Linked DNA regions of Macaca fascicularis. The protein of the gene in region 2 purifies or fractionates together with the protein of the main gene of each other region. This does not show direct contact. Links are inferred from orthologs where the notes say so. Each region holds a gene or a part of one and is shown on either strand. Other genes may lie near its edges.

Region 1 (3,828 bases), on a different chromosome or scaffold from region 2:
AATATGAGCTGGGCATCTCTTCAGAAAACAATTTTTAAAAAATATATATGATAAGGATGTTGACAAAGGAAGTAAAAACTGAAGAGACAGACATTTATATCTGGAGAACCAAGTTGACTCTAGAATTTACAGGCTAGTCAAATTTAGAGGAACAGCCAGCACACAACCTCTGCTTTAAAAGCATGTTTTATGGATTCGAGAGAGTATGACCTCTATCAGATTTTTTAATAGCGTCATTTCTTCCTGATTACTTTAGCCTTGAGCTGTAAAATCTTCAATAGTGTTTTGTTAAGTGCCACAAAGAAAAGTAGTTAACTGAGCTCTCTGTCCTTTCTATAGGGTAGCTCTGATCACTTCAAATGGGACACAGTATTAGAAAATCATCACACGCCAGAGTCTCTATGACTATATTGGAAATCTTGTTTAGTGATGTTTGTCATATTCTACCATAGGGGGCAGCATAGTACATGGAAAGAGAAAGGGGTTTTTTGCAATTAGGCAAATCAGGATTAAAATCTCTCATCACTTAGTGTGATCTGGGGTGGATCATTTGGCCTCTCTGTAACTTTTGTTTATGTATCTGTCATAGGATCTTTCAAACAGTGTGAGCTTAATAAATAGCAATTCTTGACTATCACTTCCCTTGACTTTTAACATTAAGACAGTATGGAATTTTTAACATATATTGCTTGCCATAAGGCTCCCAAAAGAACAAACCTTTAGTGACAAGGGGGGAAAAACTGTCCTCAGAGTTTTGACAGTTTTCAAAATGCTTTCAAAGAATAAAGCAATGCAAGGAAGAATTAAACATCTTTTTTTCTCATTAATATCATATTTGCTTATGCAGCATATTTAGGGATGATGGATAAAATTCAGTCTAGCTGTCCACAGGGTTTGTTTATGAGAACGTCAAAAAATAAAACTTGAAAGGTATCCTGAGTAAAATTTGTAGAAAGCTAATCCTATATTAACATTTAAAAATGGGATTTCATTTCTTATGCCTCTACTCTCAAAAGTCAAAGTTTAAGACTTGAATGAAACTATGGTCTAGGGTAACGTCTGTAGAAGTGTCTTAACTTTATAATGATCAAGAATTTAAAGCTCTTCCAAAATAAAGTACTTGAACTAGTGAGAGCTTCTATTTATTGTATTAAAACATCTACAGACGGAGAATATTGACATTTTCTTTTTAGGTAAAGCAGTACTAAGCGACTTTTCTAAATGCTGTTGAAAGTGCTCCGGGAATACTCTGGCAGAAGGGTTTTAGGAATGGACAAAAAGGAAAACATTTAGAAAAATTTCAGACTGAAATCGTACTTATAGAAGGGCATCACTGTCCTGGCAATCAAATAGCTTTGTATTCTTCATGCCATACTTATGAAGGCAAATCATCTCATGATCAACAATATATCAAAAAGTATACATACACACTTATATAATAAATGCATATACACATCTATATTGTACATGTGTATATATACAAATGCATACACACATCTATCCCTGCTATGGTTAGGGCCCAGTCCATTCTTGTTATCTTGCATGTACAAGAATAACTGTTATTCCTGATTCAGAATCACTAGGAAAAAAAACTAACAAATTCAGTATACTTCGTTTTTAAAGAGGTAATCATCACACACATAAAATTTCTGTTAATGATTTTATCTTGAAGGTAAAGAAAAGATGAAGTACCTGTCAAACTTGTGAACTGGAAGGTTTCCTACAGAATATAAGGATGACTTTTCCTTTTGGAAAAAGATAAAGTTTTGTCTAACTAGCTTTTTTTGCTTTTAATTTAAAGTGTAGCAGAAATCAGCAATAACTCTGCATTGTTCTGCAAGGCTTAGTTTTGATTGAACCTCTTTCTGAAATAAGATAATGCAATTGGAACTTAAATATTAAACCCCTATTCCTCTAACTGAACCCTCAGGAAAAAAAGAGCTGTATAAACTCCCTTTTGATATAGTAACCTTGAAGAAGGGGATTAAGACTGGGGGGACAGAAGGGAGGAATGACACTATATAAGGTCTGAGCCTTAACAAAGCAGTGTATAGTTGTTAGCGGTAGAGCCATCTGGCTGAGATCCAAAGCTACTGCTTCAACATCTTGAGACAGGGATGATACAATGGATGAAAAATCACTACTTGATGTCACGTCCTTCTTAGATCATGCTAGCTAAATATAATCTGACTTGCAGACAGGCTAGGTAAATTAGGGCCAAACACATTTTAGAAAGTCAAGGTTTTACAAGCAGATGTAAAACATGATTTAGCAATTCAACTATTATTAATCCAAGTGTGTAAGACACTTCATTCCAAGTCAAGTTAGGTTAAATGATATGATGTCAAATCAGTTAAATCAGTTTGTATATTGTTTATGGCCTAAAATCACTGTAAAATGTAAGAAATAAGCAAGTAGGAGTAAGAGGATGAACTACCACAGACATTATTTTAATGTCTATAAAACAAGTAAGCTATTATTCAAGTTAAAATGTTCCTTTCCAAAATATAGTTTAACTTGTAAGTCTATTCTACATGAATATCCACTATTTCTAATTCTCAAATGATAAATAACTAGAACTAATTTGAGGCAACTTTTGAGTAATTTATGCCTTAGAGTGACACTTGTAAATAGACAGCCCACTCCAGCAGCTGCATTTTGTAAATAAAAAGCTTCTTCATTACTTGATTTACACAAATCATATTTCACCCAAAACCTCTACACCCCACACAAGCTACTAATCCCTGCCCGGAACTCAAGGTTTAGACAAAAATTTGATGTTAATAACTTTTCATAGTAATAGGCTCAATTACTTTCCCTCCATTTGTACTCAGATTCTCCCATTATCAGTATTTCTACTTGTTAATACTTTCCAATACCTTCTGTAAAACAAAAAACTAGTTCATTTTATTATTACATATCTTAAGATTAATTTTTAGTAATACAAAGACTGAGAGGAAAGTTTCATTACTTAAAATAGGTATGTAAAGTTTCTCAAGTTAACAATATAATGAATATACTCACTTTTGTGGTTTTTGTATAGAATGGGGAGGAGAGCTGGTGAACGGGCAGGTCCACAATACTACTGGAGTTTGTGACACTGTTACTATGTGTATGTTCATCTTCTCTGCTACTATCATCAGACTGATCAAAATCATCACTCTCCTGGTCCATCTCCTCCTCCTCCTCATCCTCCTCATCTTGTTCACCAGCATGTTCTTCATCTTCCTCTTGTTCTTCTTGGTTTCCTGAGGAGTCCTCATCTACTGAAATAAATCTATTATTGTTTTCTTCCAATTGTCCTTGCTGGGAATCATTTTGGCCTCCAGGTCTAGGTTCTACTCCAACAACTTCACCATTCCTTGCAGTGTGCTCCTCCTCTTGTTGTCTAAGTTGCTGTTGCTGTTCCTCCTCTACCACACGATTCATCTGTTCTTCATCTACCTGGCTTGAGGAAGGGTTACCTCTCAGAGAGCCTCCAGTTCGTCGTCTTTTGCTGCCCACAGAGAGCAGTTCCTGATTCATTTCCAAAAGCCAGCTTGCTACTTCTTGGACCTTGGCTAGACTATCAGAAGATGCAAAGGTTTTCACATTCTGCAGGGGAAAATAGTGGAAAAAACAAGATTTGTACAATCTATATTATGTTCTACTTTCATGTTATATGTCTACATTCTAAATATCATTAATGATTGCAAAAAAGTATTGATGCCACCAAGGCATTAAAATGCTTTTTAGTAAACAATATAGAACATTTCAATTTTAAAAGTTGTAAGACTTTATAAAGACATGCACAAAAACCATAGTAAACAACATTAATCGCTTTTAATA
Region 2 (3,828 bases):
TGAACGTCACACCATCAGGGCACTGAACTGTGGTCATTCCTCCATCTCCATTGGCTGTACGGCTTCCATAGTTCCTCAAGCGCACAGCATATTTAACATTTTCCTTCATTATAAAGATGTAAAACATGTTTACATTTATTCACAATGTACAGAGGATATACAAAAAGAACTCTAGCAGTAAAATAGGCAAATATACTGAAATTTCTTATCATATTTACAGATGATACAAGTTTTTAATGAATCAAACATGATGACAGCTAATATTTACTGAATGCCTGTTGCATAAAAGCAACTGTCCTAAGTACTTTATGGAATTCAATTAATCCTTAAAATGGCTTCATGAGGTAAGTATCATTATTATCCCTATTTTACAGATGAGGAATCTGAGGTTCAGAGAAGTTAAGTAATTTGTTCTAAGTCACACAGCTAGTAAGTGATGGAACTAGGTCTGAACACAACCAATGTAACTAGTGCCTGCTCGTAATTTTACTGCTAGAATATTAGCCATAATAATTTTTCTTTTTTTTTTTTTCTGAGACAGGATCTTGCTCTGTCACCCAGCTGGGAGTGCAGTGGTGCAATCCTGGCTCAATGTGGCCTCCTCTTCCTGGGCTCAAGCAATTCTCCCACTGGTGCGTTCCATCACACTCAGCCAATTTTTTAAGGTGTTTCTGTAGAGATAAGGTCTGACTATACTGCCCAGTCTGGCCTCAAACTCCCAAGCTCAAGTGATCCTCCCTCCCTGGTGTCTCAAAAGTGCTGAGATTACAGGTGTGAGCTACTGTGCCCAGCAATACGAGATTTTAATTGCATAAGCTGATACTTTTCCTTGACTAGTTTAACTTTTAAAATAATTTTAGATGTGAGAAAAAAATAAGGGTGACTCTGCTATATTTTTAAGAAAATCTCAGAGATAGAAATTTATAGGCAAACAGACATGAGAAAAAAAAACCCACAGGAAAAAAGCTGTCCAAAATATAATGCACTGTACTTTGAAAATGTGAGCTATAGAAACTAATGCTTTATGAACCATGATATAAATTTCACAATAAAAGCTTTTTGGTTTTTCAGTATCTAAATTCTTCCTGATGAAATCTCTCATGTACCGATCTTATCCAAAATTTTGTCCTATAATGAAATTTATTTCAGTTGAATTCAGAAATACTTTAATGTTACTTTAACATTTATAATTACTTTGATGTGGTAAAATTTCTCTATTTTGCCAAATATTGTTAGAAAATAGGCTGGGTGTGGTGGCTCACGCCTGTAATCCCAGAACTCTGGGAGGTTGACGGGGGTGGATCACTTGAGGGCAGGAGTTCGAGACCAGCCTGGTCAACACAGCGAAGCCCCTCTCTACTAAAAATACAAAATTAACTGGGTATGGTGGCACGTGGCTGTAATCCCAGCTACTCGGGAGGCTGATGCAGGAGAATCATTTAAATCCAGGACGTGGAGGTTGCAGTGAGCCAAGATCATGCCACTGCACTCCAGCCTGGGTGACAGAGTGAGACTCCATCTCAAAAAAAAAAAAAAAAAAAGAACAAAAGCAAAACAAAACAACAAAACAACAAACAATAAGAGAAGAAAAGACAGGGCTAATGCTTATTTTTCATACTGTGCTAGACACTGAGGCAGGTGTTTTATTTCTATTATTTAATCTCAAGAATACTACAATGCAGGTATTATTCTTTCCAATCTACAGATAAGTCTCAAAGTGGTTAAATAATGAACTCAGTGTCTTAAAGCTAGTATGTTGGAACAGCAGGTATCCAGAGTTTAATCTGTTTGACTACAAAGCTTCCTACTACTCCAGACTTTAAGAAACATTATACAAAAATATAATATAATGTGGTACAACATCAGGTACATAGTAGGTACTCCATAAATATCTGAAGTACCTACCATATAAAGGATAACTTACGAATAGCTGTATCTAACAAACAAAATTCATGGAATACTCTTCACTATTTTAACTACATAATAATTCTTCTTATTCACAATAGAAACATACAGTTGAAACTACCTTTAAAGGAACCACTTTGTCAAGTCTGATTTCAGCTATATCACTGGGTGAGTCATCTGTTGTGTAAGTTCCTTTCACTAATTCCAGAGATGTCCATCTGTGGGAATGAGTTGAATCTCCAGCATGTTCACTCTAAAAAAAAAAAGGAAACAAAAAAATCAAGTTAGAGATAGAGATAAACTTGCTATTTACTAGGCAATGATTTACATGCTACCCCTTTCTGTCCTATTTTAATAAAACTCCGGTACTTTAAGTAATTTTAGAGAATGGATTAGAAAGATATAGCTGAATTAGTACTCTATGACATCTGAACATTGTGTTTCTTGAAAAATTACAATATAAAAAAAAAACTACTCAAGACTTGTCATCAGGGACTTAGCTAAATAAATTTTAGTCTTTAATTCCACTTTAAATCTTTCTCTTTCTGAAAGTACAAAAAATATAAGCAGTAGTGATCCAAGGTGGAAAGATGGAACACAAGCAATGAGGTAAAATCATTATCTTTCAGTTTCTTTTCTTTCTTTCTTTTTTTGAGACAGGGTCTCACTCTGCTGCCCAGGCTTGAGTGCAGTGGCATGATTATGGTTCACTGTAGCCTCAACCTCCCGGGCTCAAGTGATCCTCCCACCTCAGCCTCCAGAGTAGCTGGGATTACAGGCGTGCACCACCACACTCAGCTAATATTTGTATTTTTCATAGAGATGGGGTTTTGTCATGCTGCCTAGGCTGGTCTCAAACTCCTGTGCTCAAGTCATCCACCTGCCTCAGCATCTCAAAGTGCTGAGATTACAGGTGTGAGCCACTGTGGCCAGCCTTTTTCAGTTTCTTTAGTGTCATTCATCTGTAATTGATCTAGTAAACCCCTGAAGGTATGGACCCATCATACTATGACAATGGTAAATCCTGATACACAACCCACTAATCAGGATAAATGCTGAAAGGGTGATACTTACATCATCAACCAAGACCTCTAATTCATATTCATGAATTCCACCTCCTCCATAGACAGAGAAACCAACTACAACTATTCCAGGTTTGTCTACTGAAAAACAGATTGCATCAGGGGACCCGTTCCCAGTGTTCCAGCTTCTGCCCTGACTTGTTTTTGTAAATCGGTTAGCACTAGCTTTTACAGAGTGAAGAGAATTAAGTCCATCAACCTGTGGACAACAAAAGCAACTGCATCAGTAGTTTGTACACCTTTAACAAAACCATCCAAAGGTTTCTAAGAAGTCTAATAAAATAAGCTTTATTTAATAAGTGGGTATAAGCATTTCTAAACGTATGTTCTACTGAGAGATTAACTCACAATAAAACCAGATTTTATCATTCTAAATTCACAAATCAGTGTCACTTGACAGTATTTTCTTCCTTCAGCCATATGAAACTATATTTTCCACTTAATTTATAACGTTAGAAGTACAAGCTTGTCTTATCAGTCATAATGTATGAATAAATCACTAGACTTTGAAAAGAGATGCTAAAAATGTCATCGAAATTCTATAGATCAACAGTTTTCAAACTATGCGACATAGAGCTCTAGATATTCTGCAGAGAAAGGTATGCAAGGAAGAGGTAAATTTATGGTTCCCCTCTTCAACCAGACTATGTCCTCTCTCCTCTCACCTGTGAATTTGCAAGACTTCATTTGAAGAAAATGGTCTATAGCCTAAGATTGAATACTACGAATATATACAGCGATATTTCCGTAACAGCATTCAATATTTGAATACATACACACACATGTGCAACTATACTAATTATAGACTTTCACTAGAGAGGATTAGAGAACTTATTTTGGG

Evidence for each region.
Region 1: the proteins of MYCBP2 (region 2) and FBXW7 purify together in Homo sapiens (affinity purification with mass spectrometry; 6 studies listed by BioGRID and IntAct, counting the BioPlex papers as one, with this or other methods). This does not show direct contact. The link is inferred for Macaca fascicularis from reciprocal best matches to the Homo sapiens genes MYCBP2 and FBXW7.

The regions. Positions count from the first base shown.
Region 1 is NC_088379.1:157,327,217-157,331,044, forward strand, and holds part of FBXW7 (F-box/WD repeat-containing protein 7), read right to left. Parts: intron 3,595-3,828; 5' UTR 3,526-3,594; coding exon 3,025-3,525; intron 1-3,024. UniProt on the Homo sapiens protein: Substrate recognition component of a SCF (SKP1-CUL1-F-box protein) E3 ubiquitin-protein ligase complex which mediates the ubiquitination and subsequent proteasomal degradation of target proteins.
Region 2 is NC_088391.1:68,187,848-68,191,675, forward strand, and holds part of MYCBP2 (E3 ubiquitin-protein ligase MYCBP2), read right to left. Parts: intron 3,187-3,828; coding exon 2,980-3,186; intron 2,159-2,979; coding exon 2,027-2,158; intron 104-2,026; coding exon 1-103. UniProt on the Homo sapiens protein: Atypical E3 ubiquitin-protein ligase which specifically mediates ubiquitination of threonine and serine residues on target proteins, instead of ubiquitinating lysine residues.